Struthio camelus: one gene and its partner. The protein of the gene in region 1 interacts with the protein of each later gene in a biochemical or structural test. Links are inferred from orthologs where the notes say so. Each region holds a gene or a part of one and is shown on either strand. Other genes may lie near its edges.

The links.
Region 2: the proteins of DNM1 (region 1) and SH3GL1 form a complex in vitro, tested with the Homo sapiens proteins (2 studies listed by BioGRID and IntAct, with this or other methods). The link is inferred for Struthio camelus from reciprocal best matches to the Homo sapiens genes DNM1 and SH3GL1.

Annotation. Positions count from the first base shown.
Region 1 is NC_090961.1:7,431,706-7,440,903, reverse strand, and holds the start of DNM1 (dynamin-1), read right to left. Parts: upstream 3,589-9,198; 5' UTR 3,418-3,588; coding exon 3,257-3,417; intron 1-3,256. UniProt on the Homo sapiens protein: Catalyzes the hydrolysis of GTP and utilizes this energy to mediate vesicle scission and participates in many forms of endocytosis, such as clathrin-mediated endocytosis or synaptic vesicle endocytosis as well as rapid endocytosis (RE).
Region 2 is NC_090967.1:4,458,391-4,467,048, forward strand, and holds the start of SH3GL1 (endophilin-A2), read right to left. Parts: upstream 3,785-8,658; 5' UTR 3,667-3,784; coding exon 3,622-3,666; exon of another isoform or gene 2,793-3,621; intron 1-2,792. Other genes in the region: CHAF1A (chromatin assembly factor 1 subunit A), read left to right, coding at 5,338-5,344, 5,692-5,742, 5,980-6,800. UniProt on the Homo sapiens protein: Implicated in endocytosis. May recruit other proteins to membranes with high curvature.

The DNA of each region.
Region 1 (9,198 bases):
TCAAATGGAGAAAGACCTCTTTCCTGTGACATATTTTCCATTTTCGCTTCAATTATTTCTCTAAATGCTTTTCTACAGCCTGTTTCACTCAGGCCTCTCAGCTTCTGCTCAAGGGACCCTTCATAATTTCATTTTGTAAAAGCCACAGCACCATAACATGTGGCTACGGAGCCAGCTGATGGGACACGGTGAGGTCACAAGCTCTCCTGGGATAGGAATCATTAGGAAGAGATAGAAAACAGAATTTCATTCATTTGCTCTCTGTCAGGCAGACAAACCCCCCAGTTCTCAATTGGTTTTTGTGGAGGTTCACCAAGGACGAATATATATCCCCTTCTGTTTGCTCAATCCACAAGGAAGGGACAGCATACTCTGTTTCACTGGCTGTCCTTAGAAGAACCATCCTCCGGCCCAACAGCCATACGTTATATATTACGCCACTGCAGCACTGCCTGCCTAGATCCTCTCAAAAGGATTCAGGAGGTTTGACAGCATGAAAACAGCAGAGCCAACAGGTGAACCAGAGCTTTGCTCACGTTTTCCTGAGGACCTATTTTCCCTTTCTTCTTAGTAAGCTATAGCAGAGTAAATCTTTCCCCTTAGGGGAAAGGTAGGACTCATCAAGACAAACAAGCGGGTCCTGGCCTATGACCCGGGCTTCAGTAACATAACTGTTTCTGGAAGGTCCTTCCCCTGGCACAGTTCCCAGGATCCCTGGAGGATGCTGCATGGACTGTAGGAAGGCAACTCGTGCGGACCCCCAACCCCTCTCTGGATGTGTATTTATATGCTAAAACAAAAACAACAAAAAAATCATTCCAACTCTGCTTTTCCACCAGATACAACCACTGCACCGTTTTCCTAATACATTTAGCACAGACTGCACTCGCGGCCCAAGCCTACTCTTGCACAGGTCCAAAATTTGGGGACGCTCTCAGATAAACAAGCAATTCATACAGCACCGCAGCCCCTTCCGATGGCGGGAGAGCTGTACCAGCCATTTGTTAGCAAACTGTTCCCACGGAAAGAAAAAGTGGGGGTTTGGGGAGGAGGGTGGAGGGAATGGGAGGAGAAACGATGTGCAACAGAGGTTGCCACAAATACAGCTTGCAGAAAAAGAAAAAAAGCCACACAAACACTGACCAGGTATCGCAGCAGTAGCTGCTTTTAAGACAAGTCACCAGCGCCCTGCACCTCGCTCGTAGGGGGGGGGGGGGGTCCTTGATAATTAACCCATGTATCAGGGATTGCAATTATTTAACGAGGCCGAAAAGAAGCCGGGGAACAAGCCCCTTCCCCAGGCGTCGTGTGCCTGCGCTCGCAGCCGGTAGCCAGGCCGGCGGGCTGCGATCTCCCCAGGCTGCAGAAGATGAACGTGAAGGTCACGGGAAGGGAGGGCGGCAGAACCGTGCCCGACACAAAATGGTAGCACCGGGGGATCGGGGCAGAGAGATAACCCCGTCCTTCCTGCGCCTCCTGACATGGCACCCGCGACGGAGGACAGCGGAGCCGGGCCGGGGGAGGGGGCGGAGGGGATTAAACTTAACACCTTCCACCACCGCCCCCGGCTCTCGGCGGCCACCTCCACCTCCGGGGCCGGGCAGCACCGAGGGACGCGCCGGGGCAGCTCAAAGACGCCGCTCGGGAGCGATTTCCCCGACTTTTCTGCTCCCCTCCCTTATATAACAGCTTGCGCCGGGCAGGGGCTGCCGCCGGGCACCGGCGCTCACCCCCCCCTCCGGCGGGGAGACCCGCTCCCTGCCCGCGGGGCCCGGCCCCTGCCCCTGCAGCCGGCAGCTCGGCCCCTGCACTGCCCCGTGCAGCCGGCAGCTCTGCTTCTGCCCCTGCAGCCGGCAGCTCGGCCCCTGCACTGCCCCGTGCAGCCGGCAGCTCTGCTTCTGCCCCTGCAGCCGGCAGCTCGGCCCCTGCACTGCCCCGTGCATCCAGCAGCTCTGCTTCTGCCCCTGCAGCCGGCAGCTCGGCCCCTGCACTGCCCCGTGCAACCGGCAGCTCTGCTTCTGCCCCTGCAGCCGGCAGCTCGGCCCCTGCACTGCCCCGTGCAGCCGGCAGCTCTGCTTCTGCCCCTGCAGCCGGCAGCTCGGCCCCTGCACTGCCCCGTGCAACCGGCAGCTCTGCTTCTGCCCCTGCAGCCGGCAGCTCGGCCCCTGCACTGCCCCGTGCAGCCGGCAGCTCTGCTTCTGCCCCTGCAGCCGGCAGCTCGGCCCCTGCACTGCCCCGTGCAACCGGCAGCTCTGCTTCTGCCCATGCAGCCGGCAGCTCGGCCCCTGCACTGCCCCGTGCAGCCGGCAGCTCTGCTTCTGCCCCTGCAGCCGGCAGCTCGGCCCCTGCACTGCCCCGTGCATCCAGCAGCTCTGCTTCTGCCCCTGCAGCCGGCAGCTCGGCCCCTGCACTGCCCCGTGCAACCGGCAGCTCTGCTTCTGCCCCTGCAGCCGGCAGCTCGGCCCCTGCACTGCCCCGTGCAGCCGGCAGCTCTGCTTCTGCCCCTGCAGCCGGCAGCTCGGCCCCTGCACTGCCCCGTGCAACCGGCAGCTCTGCTTCTGCCCATGCAGCCGGCAGCTCGGCCCCTGCACTGCCCCGTGCAGCCGGCAGCTCTGCTTCTGCCCCTGCAGCCGGCAGCTCGGCCCCTGCACTGCCCCGTGCATCCAGCAGCTCTGCTTCTGCCCCTGCAGCCGGCAGCTCGGCCCCTGCACTGCCCCGTGCAGCCGGCAGCTCTGCTTCTGCCCCTGCAGCCGGCAGCTCGGCCCCTGCACTGCCCCGTGCAGCCGGCAGCTCTGCTTCTGCCCCTGCAGCCGGCAGCTCGGCCCCTGCACTGCCCCATGCATCCAGCAGCTCTGCTTCTGCCCCTGCAGCCGGCAGCTCGGCCCCTGCACTGCCCCGTGCAGCCGGCAGCTCTGCTTCTGCCCATGCAGCCGGCAGCTCGGCCCATGCAGCCGGCAGCTCTGCCTCTGCCCCCTGCACTGCCCCGGGCAGCCGGTAGCTCTGCCCATACACTGCCCCGTGCATCCCGCAGCTCTGCTTCTGCCCTGTCCCGGGCAGCCGGCAGCTCGGCCCCTGCCCAGTTCCGCCCTGCCCCTGCAGCGACCAGCGCTGCCCCCGCACCGCGCTGCCCGCGCACACGCATCCAGCGGCTGCGCCCGCGCCCGCGCCCCGCGCTGCCCCCGCGCCCAGCCGCGCTGCGGCGCGCCGCCGGCCGCCCTGCCCGGGAGGCGGACGGGGCTCTCGGCGAGCACCTCACCTCCCCACGAAATTCTCCAGCACGGAGCTCTTGCCGGCGCTCTGCCCCCCCACCACGGCGATCTGCGGCAGGTCCAGGTTGGCGTTCTGGCCGATGGCGGCGAAGGCATCCTGGAGCCGGTTGACCAGGGGGATGAGGTCCTCCATCCCGCGGTTCCCCATGGCTGCGGCGCCGCACCGGCACCTCGCCCAGCGCAGCTCGCGCCGCCGCCGCTCTGCTGGCGCCGCCGAGGGGGCAGTGGTGCCGCGCCGCGGCCCCCCACGTCCTCACCGACGGGTGGCCCTGGCGGGTGGCAGCTGCCCGCTCGCTCGCACCTCGCCCGGCTCTGCGCTGCCCCGCTGCCCGCCCGGGCTCCGCTCCGCGCCGCTCGCCCGCGCCGCCGCCAGGGGGGGCTGAAGGGCGCCCCAGCCCCGGAGCACGCTGGGAGTTGTAGTGCGGGCAGGAGCGGGGGCGCCCCGCCGCGGGTTCCGCGCCATCTTGGGCTGCCCCGAGCCCCGCGGCGGGCGGCGGTGGGGGTGGCCGCCGGCAGGAGACCGCGCTCCCCGAAACTGCAGCGACCCCCCCCCCTCCGCTGCCCCAGGCCTGGGGGCCGTGCGGCCCTCGGCCTGCGCACGGCGGGGCCCGTGTACCTGTAGGGTTGAGTCGGGGTGCGTGTGCGGTTTGGTTCAGTCACCACAGGGGTACGGTGCAGTCGCTGCCCCTGTGTGGTGCGGTCTGTAGAGCTGTGCGGCTCCGCTGACGCGCTGCGCCGCTTGGTCAGTGTGCCTGTACGGTTGGGTTGACGCACCTGTGTGGCTGGGTCAGTGTGCCTGTACGCTTGGGTTGATGCACCTGTGTGGCTGGGTCGATAAACCTGTACGCTTGGGTTGATGCACCTGTGTGGCTGGGTCAGTAAACCTGTACCTGAGGGCTTTGTGCTAGGGGGGCGCTTGTGGAACGGCCAGAGCATGAGTGATGCTTGACACGGGATTAAACTGGGGGCGTGCAAAAACGCTCCTGCATTTCTGCCCCTTGACTTAATTCACTAAGGCATGGGTGAAAAACTCCCGGGTTTCTGTTCATGGCTGCAAAACAGTAGATGCTGCTGCTGTTGCTATGTTTGATTTACAGAAATGCAAAGTACTTCCATTTTATATGCTTCCATCTTCTTTTAAAAAATTAATTTGCCTACAGTAAAAAGGTAACCGGTTTTAGGCTTTTTACAGGGATTTTTTTTTTTACAAAAATATAGTGTTGAGGCCATATTTGACTTGAAAGTGTACCAGTGAAAACAAGGATGTTCAGAAAAGAAACTGATGGCTAGTGGTGACTCAGGAGAATGGAGTATGCTGCATTTCCAACACTTCTTCGTCCATGCTATCCAGGACTCTTCTTCGCAGCTTAGATACAGCTGGGGGTGGGTGGGGGGGAGGAAGAGCAGAACTGCAACAGATTTTGAGCTTTATTTTTCATTGTAAACAGCCACTCTTTAGTTATAATGGTTCTAAGCAAAATTTCACAGATCCGTCAAACGTAATCTATGCAGAAATGCCTGAGTATGCAGAGAAAAGTGGAACAACTGTTGTGAGGGGTGAATTTACCTCCCTTGCGTCAGTGAAGATGCCCAAGGAAAACGCTTTGAAAATGTCACCAGCGTTCAGGTAAGAAAGCTGAGGGAGGGAGTGAGAGCTGCTCCGTCTGTGTAGGTAACGTTATTGTAGGACGCGTGTGGGTTGTTTTGGGGGCTGTCAATGCTAATTTTTTCCTTTCAGCAAATTGCCCAGCAGATCCAAGGAGAAACAAGCTTCAGAAACCAGTGTAGACTGTGGACAAATGTCTCTGAGCATCTGCTCAGCCATTCTGGTCACTTACGTAGAAGGAACCTGCAGAAAAAACATCGCTTTTCTTTCAGAAGTTGATACCTCCCCCTTGTTAGAGGTCTCAGCAAAAAATAACAACAAAGAGTATCACAGGCTTAAAGAATGGTGTCATATTCCTCCCTGGCTCAGAGCTGATGTTGCCCCAAGAACCATGAGGGGAAGGTTACCCTTTGCCAGAGGTTGTGTAACCTGCAGTTACCCTGCACAGCTCCAATTTCAATGCAGGGGAGGTTTGCCCAGCTCCATCACTGTGATGATGTCGGATAACAGTAGCATTTGCGGCCTAGCTAGTGCCTAAAGGGCCTTGATTTCCCTTCCCTGCCCTTCCCTTCCCCCCCCACCATGAATCCATACCTGCCTTTAATATTTCCATAAAAGCAACTATATTTGATTGTGGCAATCAACATTTTTGCTAACCATCAAACTACAAATATTGGATTTCGCTCTCATCTGGCTGTTTAGCATTCTAAGCAGGTATTTTGCTCTAAGTGAGCCCGTTTCAATCCAGAAATTATCATTCAGGATCACACCGTTCTCTGGAAGAGCTAAAATTAAATTAATACATTTTTCTTCTACCAGGAAAGGTTTGTGAAGTAACACTGAAAGCACAGTATGTCAACAGCTGACATTCAAGACTGGAAAAAAACAGGATTCATGTCGTCAGTTAAGGATCTGGTGCAGCAGAAAGGCTGCAGCAGGACTTTTTTGCAGGTATTCTTTGAGGTATTCTCTCTCCAATTTTATTTTTTCCATAAAGTTGCTCTTTAGATCTCAGGAAACATATGGACCATTATTTAGGGGTTTGGTCTAATCTGCTGAGGTCTCAAGGAGCAAATGCACAGTGGAGACACTGTAGGGAGTTAATAAGGTCTTCTCCAAGTAGGGAAGAAAGGTGGAAAAGGGGAAAAAGAGGGTTAAAAATCTGCAGAAACGTTGGCAAACTTTGTATATATTTTTATCTGCAGATCGTTGTGAGCGTAACACTATAAAACGCACAAAGTACCTTCCTGCATCCCCTGTTTTGCAGATGCACTCATAAGTAAGTGAGGGTACATGTATGCCTGCAGCATTACCCCTACAAGAACTCATTAATATCGTGGAGTCTGTCTAGGCGCTCCTGCAGCAGTTGTAATCATATCCCCCAGAGAGCAGAGAGACCCAGCCTGAAGCCTCAAAGAAAGTGAGGTTTGATTTTAAGAAGCTTTAGAAACCTACACCTCCCACTGATGAAAATGAGAACTGCAGGCCCTGGGAATCCCCATCCTAAGGCCTTCCATTTTCTCTCCTGCAAGAAACTGATTTGCAAGGATATTAGCAACAGACAGGCCTTTTGATTCTGTAATACCTCCTTCCTATGACTTACTCAGCAGCTTGTAGCAGCCGTAGGAGAAAAACAATTATGTGATCATCCTTCATGGGGAAATACTGAAAAATGGGAGGGATTTGGAAATAAAAAAGACTTTACAAACCGGACCAGACAGGAAAAAAATCTATTTGTATCTACCTAAGAGAAAGACTTTTTCCTCAAGGTCTTGTAAATATTTCTGGCCATACTTTTATATGAATCCCCTAAAAATGCACCTGAGCATAAATATGTCTCTTTCCATGTATTGCTATCAACGTAAAAAACAATATAGCCAATCCTGGGAGAAGAAAGAGTAAAAAAGGTGGAATATAATTACCTTACAATTCTCCGAGTCATCTGCAAACTATTTCTCAGAGGTGCAAATGCCTCACAGTTCCTTTTGACTTGAGCCAGAGCTATGGATGTTCAGCACATTTCGCAGTGGATCATAAAGTGGATGCTCTTGGTCCTTTGGTTTTGTAAGAAATGTTTATAAATAAAGGTAAGAATGTAAACTCCAAAAACGATCAGAGGTAGGTTTGTCACTGTTTGTATCCATATTGAATATATTATATAGCTGATGAATAGTTAAAAAACAAATAAATTAACCTCCTAAGTTGTTTATAGGCAGCTTTACACGGTCATATAGATTTTTTAAGTATGTATTTTGTGCCATAGCATCATTGCCCTTTTATAGCGTCAGGTGCTAAGAAAGGTCTCCCTCAAGTGTTATTAGTTGGAAAAACTATCTGAAAAAGAAGCAGCCTTTATGTTGTGTTTTTCAAATATGTAACTTTTCTGCCTAGAATAAAACAGTGAAATACTTTCTCATTTTCTCTTCTGTTGTGAGACAGGAAATTTGCTGAACTGGTCCGAGAATCCCTCAAGAAGAGGTAAAAGAAAGTTAATCTAGTGTATAAGACACTGGGGTCAGGTTTATTTTTGGTGTAACTCTACAGAAGTCAGAATATAGTCCATCAGGAGAGGGATCTGGACATAGATGTGTGTTTAGATAAAATATTTTAAAAGCAGCAAAGCTGAGTTCACTGGGCTTTCCACATCCAAAGAGAAGATACAAAATAGGAATATATTTTGCCCTGTGAGACTGAAAATCATTGATAGAAGCTGTTTGGCCATGTGGCAAAATGGTGTAAAAGATGTATGTTAGTTTATATACTGTGGGCCTGCCCTGTCAATCAAGAAAGATTGGGAACAGGTTTCTAAAGCAATAAAGCGAAGACTGGGTGCAAGTGTCTTAATGCATAGATTATCTTGCTTTAAAATACTGTGTGCTGCTGCTTTCACATGTGTGTGAGTATGGTATTCCCACAGATAAAACAGACGTGGAAAACGGCAGAACTCCAGTAATTCACATCAGCAGTTGAGGGCAGGGCTGGTGAAACTTGAAACCAAATGTTACCTATTCTTTCAGTGGATAGACCCCAAAAGCAGAGAGGTACTGCTTTTAAGTACTTTAAAGTTCCGTAGATCTTTTTCTCCAAGGAGTTTGGGAGGTTCAAGGACATTAAGGTGGGAACTTCTGTCATATCCTAATAAAATGGGTAAGACCATCCTTGCAGATTTCAACAGAAATTGTGGGCACTTCAGTTTCTTGGTGCTCTTGTAGGCACTAAGAAAGTGAGACTGCAGAAACCAGAGACTGCTTCTGAAAATTCAGTTGTGTGCATCTCCACCAAGGGTTTGATAGCAAGTCTTCCGCAGAGGCAAAATTAAAACATACAATTGCACAGTCAGTCTTGTTCTGTAAACTGGAGATGTCTGGTTATCTGCAGACCTGACCTGGTCCATGGAACAAATCCATATAGCCCAGTAAAAACTTGACTGACTATATCACGCAATCCAGCCCCTGAATAAAAAGCAATCATATGGTCTGTCCCCTCGTCTGCCAAGAGGTCAGACGACCTTGATCTAAGTCATACAGAAGTAAACTGTAGGTTGCCTTACAGGGATCCAACAATTCAGCTAATGTTAGTCTCTTTTCTGAAGAGTACTTTCTTGGTCATTTTCCTGTATTTACCTTTTTAGTTCTCATCATTCTGTTTAATTTATTCCCATTGTCAATGAGACACAATTTTTGCTGTGTAACTATCCCTAAGCTTAGTGGATACCTAGGTTTCTGCGACTCAAAGGGGACTGAATAAGAACACTGTATTCTTTACTGTAGCACTATACATTTATGAGATTCTATGTATTCTCACATAGCGACATGTATTTACTGCATGCATGTAGATCATTTAGCAGCAAGTCGCTTAGTAAGTGAAAAGGAGGTGTTCCTTGCAGAAAAAGAACTTTCTTGTCAGGACCTGGGAGGTAAAGCTCTGTGTACCAATGCTCAGTGAGCACAGAGCTCAGACGCGCTGTTTAGCTGCCACACTAAAGCAAATAAGAAGAATCCTAGCCCCGTTTCCTGTGCTGTTGACTTACACCCCTGTGCATGACCTTCAAACTGAATGGTGTGATTAGCTAAATCTAGAGCCTTCTGTTCTGGGTTCAATGAAACCATCTCTAGTAGGTATGATAACTACTTCTGATGCATAAAGACATCTCTGAAGATCAACCTTTGGAATGTAGGTTGATAAAAACAGCAGATGTTTTCGCTTTACAGCTAGTTTTACAACCTTAATTCTGTCTTTTGGGTGTCTAGCTAATACGGGGACTAGCTGGGCATCTGTAAAACTGTATGTTAACCCCCTCTCTCACCACTGCAAACTAGTCAG
Region 2 (8,658 bases), on another chromosome or scaffold:
AGCAGCCTGTGTTCACAGTATACAGCCTCTGAAGTGCCCCTCGTTCACATGAGTCAGCATCAGCCGAGCCGGGAGCCGCGGTGATAACGTGCTGATGTGGGCACCGCTGGCGCTGTACCACTCCCTGGATTAGACCCGTCCCCAATGAGAAGGGCTGTGTCACTTCTCCAACCTTGGCATTGTCACATAAGGTACAACCGCCAGCTGGCGAGAGGCAGTACAGCTCTCGCAGAGGGAGGTGACTCCTTGACCAGTATCACACCCCGACAGAGCTGCCTCCACCCTAGGGCTTGTACCTTCAGACCAGGGCTAGATAACCTGCTGATGCCAGGTAGTGCTGCTATTCTACGGCTACGTGGTACTAAACCCACAAACCCACTCAGCTAGGCATCAGACTCACCAAGGAACGGCAGAGGAATGTTTCTTTGCCCTGTCTGTCCAGCTTTTCTATCTACCAAGCATATCCAGTTATCGTGGTTAATGGAAAGTCTGGCATGCTAAACTTTGTGTTTCAGGACTTAAATCAAGGCTCTGAGAAAAGTAAATGGCGCAAGTGAAGCCATTTCCCTACCGCAGGATTTTGCACCTTCCTGGGTATCTGAGCGACCACCGTTGGATCAAGGCTGGACGGAGCCTGGGACCGGCCCGGTCTCACATCCCTGGCGCTGACGGAGGCTGCAGCGCAACTTCCCACCTTGCTCCTGGCTCACAGCGCTGGAACTCAAAGATGCTGTTGTTTCTCCCCCTACCTCTTGGGAGAATGTTTTCGATGGGATTTTTCCCCCTCCTTAAAAAAGGACATTTCACTGTGAACTAGCAAAACCTGTTCTGGACGCACACACAGAACTGTTCACCCTCTGCGGCATTTGCAAGCAGGATTTTTTTTTGCAGGATACTATCTCGGCTCTCTCCTGCGTGTGGGCGCCTGGCAGCCTCACCCAGGGAACATGTAGACCCACAAGAATCAGATAAGTCAGGCCTTCCTAAAGGCAGGAGCTCAGGACCAAGCCCTCTTCACCGCCTGCAGCACCACCCTGCTTTGTCCGGGTCTGGAGGAGGCCGAACTGGCAGCCTCTTCTCGCTGGGAGGCAAGGGGGAAAATCCCACACCCAGAGCTGCAGCAACAGAGAGGTTCTGAGAGGGTCCTCACAGGCCTTGGTCCTGGCTACGTTTTCCTTCAATCAACAACAGACATGGAATTAACTGCAACATTTTAGGAAAAATCTTCCACATGTTCGGGTTTGGCAGCACCTAATACCTTTAAGAGAGCCAAAAAATAACTAATCCTCCTTCTCCTTCAGCCAAGGAGCCCAAGAGTGGGACTGGTGGAAGGAGGGGGAAGAAGAGTGAAAAGGGAAAGAGGAGGAGGAGAATGCAGGAAAATGGTAGAACTGGGACCAATCGCTCCCAGATCGCAGAAAAAGAATCTCTAAAGCTCAGATACTTCTGCGTCCCAGCCCCCAGGATGCTCCAAAGGAGCCAGCAGTGTCTGTCCTCTGATAGCAGACTGCCCTTCTCTACTTCCCCGCAAAGCATGCAATTCACTTCTGCAATGGTACCGTGAATATTGGCAGCAAGCCTCGCGTTAAACGCAATTTCTTCAGATTAAATCAGTTTCCAAAACCCTGCAGCAGCACGAGCTGCAAAAGAACTCAAGGTGCAATTGCACCTACACCTTATCTCCCACTTTTTAGTAATGCCCTTGAACATAGTGTTCAAATAAAGCATGTGCGTACACACACAATATACAAACAGGCCACTAAGTCAGAATATTTGGGCTACATCTCACCAAAGAGCTGCATGGGGTTTAATTTTTCCACGAGCAACTAGAACGGTTCCTTTCAAAAAGTTACATATGGAACAGAAAAACACCTGCAAAGGCCACCTGTGATTTACCTCAGTTTAAAATAATTCTCCTGGTGAAAAGTTTCAGCAGATGTTTTAGGATGACGCACTCGGACTTCAGAATCACGTTACTTTTGACTCACAGATGAGCTTTCACCTCTAATTGCCCTGCTACGACAACACAGCAGATCTGCACAAGTAAAATCCTCCAACAATGAATTTTCAGTGCAATCTTTCCCTTGGAAGTTGTAAAAAACTAGATGCAGGGGATTGCTTTTCTGTCGCAAGAAAAGGGATGGGGGAACGACTTAAGGAATTTATTATTTTGCTTTGCTGCTTAAGCAAAATGCTTTTACATGAATTACAGCCAAGAAAGGAGGCAACACACGTAGCAAACATATTTGGACCAAGCTTGGAAGTGTTGAAACATTACGCCTGGAAAACACACAGAGCCAATTGGTAGATCAGTGCAAAACTCATCTGTCTTAAATTTAAAACAGGGGCACAAAGTGCTTGTGAACTGCATTAGAGGCCAATCCCCCCGCGTTCAGCTGGAGAACTTCAGCCCACCGCCAAGCTGTGAGGAGCCATACCTAAGATGTACTTTTTACGAAGACGTAAACACGCTTTTTAGTTCAGGAGCGTCACTTTGAACTATCAATTAAGGAAGATTTTAAATGGCTTCGTTTGGCTAATAAATTACTAAAAAATTGCACCTCTGACAGTTTTTCCAGAATCGCCAGGCCTCCATTTCCTGTGCAGCGCATACACAGGCTGAGAAGCTGGACACCCTCACCCTGCAAACCGCAAAATCCTTTCCCAGTCCCAATGTCAGCTACTATCAAGGAAGCGGGAACTTCCTGAGGTTAGGCTGCAGCTGCAATCTGCCGCTGCTCTCTGCCAGGCTGGGCTTAACGAGGGCCGGTGATCCCTAGCCAAGACCTCACCTTCCGGGCCTGAATTCTGCTCCGCTGCAGAATTTCAGCCTTTCCGTCTTTATTTTTTTGCTCCTGGAATCCATACACCGACTCGACGTTTAGTCCAAGAGCATCTCACCGCCTGCAGGCTCCTTGCCGCGCTGGTCCGTCGCCGCCCTCGCGCCCTGATGCCCACGGGACGGCTGCGGCTCGCTGGCGGCGAGGTTTGGGGCGCGGAACGAGCTCCCTCCGTCCCGGGGCCGCCGTCCCTTTCTGGCGACGAGGCGCAGCGCGTCCGCGCCGTCGACCCGGAGAGAGGACTTCAAGCGTCGCTAGAAAGCGGCGGTGGCGGCCGACCCGGCGTCATCCCGAGCCCGGGACCCGCCGGTGCGACAGGAACAACCGCGTCTCCTGCCAGCTCGGCCCAGGGCTCGGGCAACCTCGGAGGGCGACGAGCGGCCCAAGCCGGGAGGCTCCGCCATCTCGCTGCGCCGGCGGCCCTCGGCCTCCTCGGGACGCGGGAGGGGCCCCGCCGGTGGCACCGAGCTGGCAGTGACAGAACCGGCACCGGACCCCGGTAGCGGGGAGGGTGTGGGGGGGGGGGAACGGGCACCGGTCCGGGATGGGAGTAACGGCGCGTTGTCAGAGGGAGCGGTACCGCCACCGGACGGCGATACCGGGGGGGGGGGCACCGGGGAATAACGGCTGGCACCAAGCTGGAGGACACGAAACCGGCAAGGAGGGCACCGGGGGGGGGTGACGGCGGGAAACGGGGCAGCACCGAAGCACGGCAGCGGGGGGGGGGGGCAGCGCGCCGGGAGGGCTGAAGGCGGCGCGGGGGCAGCGGCAGGGCGCTCACCTGGCTCGCCTTGTAGAACTGCTTCTTCAGCCCCGCCACCGACATGCTGCCGCCTCGGCCGGCCGCGCACGGACACAGCGGGCGGCGGACGCCTGGCGCGCAGCTTCCGCCGCCGCCGCCGCCGCCGCCGCGGGACCCGACCCGCCACCACTGCGCCCCCTGCCGGCCTGGCGGGGCGCCGCCACCGCCGCCGCCACCGAGAGGCGCGCGGCTAGAGCGCCGCCCTGCTGCTCGGCGGGCAGCCGCGGCGCCCCCTGCCGGCGCGGGCGGCGCAGGCCGCGAGGGAGGCGCCCCCGGGAGGAGGGGAAGGAGGTTGTGTCGCGATAGTGCCGCCCCGTCGGCTACGGTTTCCGGCCCGGCGCAGCGACGCCTTCGCCGCGGCGACGCTTCCGCGCTCTGACCGCCGCCTCAGCGGCTCCGCTCTTACCTGGCGGCGGGAGCGTCGTGGCAGCTCCGCGGTCCAGCGTAACTCTCCGCAGGAGACGGGCACAAGCCGCCTGCGCGGGAGGCAGCGCTTTCTCAGCCGCTGGTGCAAAACAGCTCTCTCCGGACCCGTAACCGGTTCCGCTCCCGCCCTGAGTGCCCTGCTACGGACCACGGGGCGCGTTTATAAACCTAAAGTGAAAAAAATACCTTCAGCGACGGAAGCGTGAAGGGTCAACTCCTACAACTGCCAGAGCGAGGCACCGCAGGGCGCTCGCTCCGTCCCTAAGGAGGGGGGACAACGCCAGCCCGCGAGCGCCATGGGGCCCGCAGCCCTCCCGACCAGGAGGGAGCTGCTCCCGGGGAGGCGCGGCGGGCAGGCTGGGCGGGGGCCGCGTCCCCAGCAGGCCCGTGGCGGGGCGCTGCGTCCCACGCCGCCTGGGGCAGGGCAGCACGGGGGGTCAGGGGGCGGCGGGCCGAGGCCTGGGAGCGAGGGCCCGTGTGGGGACAGTGTGGGGACAAGCTGTGCCCCCCTTCCCGCCCGCCCCCCCCCCCAAGGGCTGCCATAGCGCTGGGAGAGGCAAAGGGGCGACTACAACTCCCAGGAGGCTCTCCGCCTCGCAGCCGCCGCCGAACTACAACTCCCAGAGGCCCTTGCGGCAGCGTCTTCGCGCCCTCCTCCCACACCCCCGCGCGGAGGGGGCTCGCGCCGGGAAGGCGCTCGCTCATTGGCTGCCGCCGCCGCCATTTCGCGGTTTGGCTCGCGCCCCCTTGACGGCGCGGCGCGGCGGCCGGGTCTTTCCCGCTGCCCGGCGCTGCGGAATGGCCGCTCCGACCTCTCCGGAGCTTTCCCCCGGGACCGCATCGCCGCTGTCTCGGCTCCCGCTCGCTGAGCAACGAGGCCTCGAGGCCAGGCGTGAAGAGCCAGCTGGAGCCTCCCTCAGCCAGCCAATCAGCTCTGCGTAGCGGGCCAGACTGACAGCAGCCTGCGCCAATCAGCTGCGGCTATCCCGCTGGCCAATCGGAAGGCAGCGAAGGCGGGCAAGCGCCGGGCCTCCCTCCGCCGGGCGAGGCGGCGTTCTCGCGAGACTTGGGCGGCGGGCGCGGGGGCGGAGCGGGCGGAAGGGCGCGTCACGTGGGGCGCGCTCCGCCTATCGGCGCGGTGAGGCGCGGGGTCGCCCCGGCTCCCGCCAAATACGAGCGGGTCCCGCTCGGGCGGGGCGAGAGGGGACCGGGCCGGGCTGTTGCCGCTGCCGCCGGCGGAGGGAGCGGCGGGCGCCGCCGCCCCCGCCCATGGCAGGTAGGGGGGGCTGCGGGGCCCCCGGGCGGCGCCCTCGGCTCCGCCGGCCCGCTGCGGTTCCCGGCGGGTGCGCTGAGGCCTCCTGCGGTAACAAAGGGAGGCGCCGGGCCTGGTCCCGCCGCCGCTGCGGCCCGGTGGCCGCTGTCCCCCGCTCGCTGCCGCCGCTGCTACTCGGGGGGTGGCCAGGCCCTCTCAGGGCGCCGGGTCGCGGCTGGGCTTTGTGTGGCCGAGAGGTCCCGACTGCCCTGCGTGTTGGGGAGGGGCGTCGGGGCCGCTGTGGCCCGGCTGCCCCTGGGGAGCAGGTGACTAAGCAGAAACCTGTCACTGGTGTTTTTTTTTCCTTGCAGCCATGGAGTGTCGAGGCAAAGCGGTTGTTCCCCCACGGAAGCTTGTGCAAGGTAAGGCTCTGGAGCAGGTGTCTAGCACCCAGTGCGGTCTTAGTGCTTTAAAACGTGTCAGGCCTGAACTTGTACAATAGATTGTGTTTGCGATAATAAACTCTTCCCTTCTAGCTCATCAGTTTCTCTTCTTGTGTTTAAGAACTAGGTGAATATTGCAGTGTTTGTGTCCCTTCCCCCCCCTCCCCCCATGGGTTTATATGATGTGACTAAAATAGCGAAATGTTATTGTTTCAGCCCGGCTGCCTTTCAAGCGCTTGAATCCTGTACCAAAGGAAAAATATGATGCGGATTCAGAAGTCAAAAAAGTAAAGAGCTCACAAAGCAGTTTTGGACAAAACAAGGATTCCTCTCTCGATACGTCATGTGCGTCCCTGGACAATGTGGAGAATGACTGCCAGTTGGATGCAGATGTGAATTTTACTCCAAAACTTGTTAACGGAAAGGGTCCGTTAGATCACTTTATACAGAAAAACACAAAACATAACACAAATGACACTGTAATCATTATTGACCTGACAAAGGACTCTAGCCATAGACTGAGTGATGATGTGGACCATGCTAATTTAGATTCAGAAGCATCTTCATCTGTAGGTATAACTAATGGCATGCTAGAAAAAGATATAAACCAGTCGAGTTGCATGAATTCTAGTCAGAATAGCCCAATGGATGATTCAATGGAGACTGCACCGTGTGAAGCTGCGGCAAATAAAGATGAAGTTTTGGTAGGTGGAAGCCAGTCTTGTTCTGGGTTACCAGAGTGTAACAACTTGGAGAAAACAAAGATAAATCAGAGTGAACTGAAGGATGTCATATTTGAGGGGAAGATGCCTGTAGTGCTCCTGGAGGATATTATGACTGCCAAGTCTCCTCAAGTTGCTTCTCTGGATGGAAGCATCACATCAGAAAATGAGACTCTGGAATCATCCCGCGAAGGAGACTCTCTACTTACTAATTCCTCCTTAAGTTCTCACTCTGTGAGCTCACCTGAGGCACAGCCTGCTGCAGAAACAAAGAGAAACTGTAGTCCTTTAGCTGTCTCCACGCCTATTAGGAAGGTTGGTCTCTCTTCTTGGGTTGTTTTCTAAATATTATTTCATTAGAGTAGGGAGTATAGTAGGTAATAAGGCTTTCTGAGCTCACAGTGGAAAGGATGACTAGGATATTCACAAAGCTCATGGGAAGAGTCTGGAGAGCGTTGCCAACTTATTCATATAGTAACTGAACTATTACCCTTTTGAATCCTTTAAACTGTTTACCTAAAATATTTAAATCTTGCTCTTTTGAGCTGCTGGTAAGTTCGCGTAGTGTCAATGTAACTTTAAGTTCTATTATAGATTCATGCTTATAAATTGATGATGAAGTGCATGCCTCGTGACTTATCATTTTGGTAGTTAGCGCGTGGACAGTGTTCAAAAGCAGTTTTGTCTGTAAGTGATGTTTTACAACCTCCATTCTGTACTTCACGAGGCCGTTCCAGTTACTATGACAGAACGCTAATTGGAAGCGTAGCCTAGTCACTTCTAGCACAAGTCGGTGCGGATACTTCTCAAGTTCCGTGTTTCTGAAACCGGGGGGTAGAAAACAATGCTTTAAGCGAAGCTGCAGTGCCTTGAGGACCTGTAAGTTGGCAGTTGAGGACAGAGGACAAGTCAAATGAGTCTTTATCTGCTTCTCAGAATTAAGGGTACAAAACTTGTGCTGTCAGCCATCTTGATAGGTGTGCACCATTTGACATGGGCAGTTGCTTTAGGGGAAAAGTCAGGGTGTGTTCAGCGCTCCTGGGGTCATGTGATGCTTTTGGCCAGCGAAGGTTGGAGCACAAGGATGAACACCTCTAAAGCCATAGCTCTGCATGAGCTGGTGGTTTGGAATCTGAATTAGTTTCAATTTAGTGTCTCGGCTCTATGGAGAAAGTGATGAAAGCGTTGTGACTTTTGGCCCTGTACTGCAAGGGGAACTCTTAAATTAAAGAGGGCATTATCTGCGCAGATGGCTGAAAGGATCACATGACTTGAACGGTTGAGAAGTGAATAGGCTTTTCCAGAATATATCCGTTGAGATGTAAAGTGGGAGTTTCTCTTGCAGCAGGCACAATAACCTCATCCTTAAAGGCGTGGGGTAGAGCAGTCCTGGTGAATGGGCTTGGACACTCTAGGCAAGCCTGGCCTAGACTTAGTCCGGACTATTTGGCCTGTGTATTTGTTTTGCCCTAACTACATTATTAGAGGGGAAAATCAGGAAAGTGGATATTGCCCTGTGAGAGTCTGAAAACGACATATGTGGCTTGAGTAAATGAGGGTGAAGAGATGGAGCAAATTAGTAGAATAGGAAAGTATACGTGCTGAGCAGGGGTGGAACTGCTCCTGGGTTTGCGCTCGCCAGTTATGTCTTCTGGCGAGAATTGCTTTCTGCTGTTTTGAGCCTTTTGAGAAAGCTTTTCATCAGCTATCCCACTGGGATGTAATGAGAGGCTGTACCGCTTGTGAGGGAAAAATCTCATTGGCCTGAAGGAGATAGCAATAAGCTAGCTGGGGCTTGGATTTCATGATGTGACAGGTCCTCCGCTTCTTTTGCTGTGTGAATTGTCTCAAATCAACCAGTTTTAGACTGTTAAAACTTGCAGTCTTCCTCCTCTAAAATACATACTTAAACTCAAGTAGGCATGAACTATACCCAGTGTAGCAGAGCAACAAGTGCTGGACTCCTGGCATAGTGTGATAATGCAAACCAGTTACTGGCTTTGCACGGCTTGAAGTAAGGTAGAGTACCTCATGTTGTATTTGCCAAAGTGAGAAATTTACACTGTACAATTATTTGTCCTTGTAAGTGTGTTTTCCTAGGTGGAAACAGTTTTGATAACAAGCTCCTTATTGAAATAACTCAATTTTGCATTAGAAAACGTAGAATCTATTG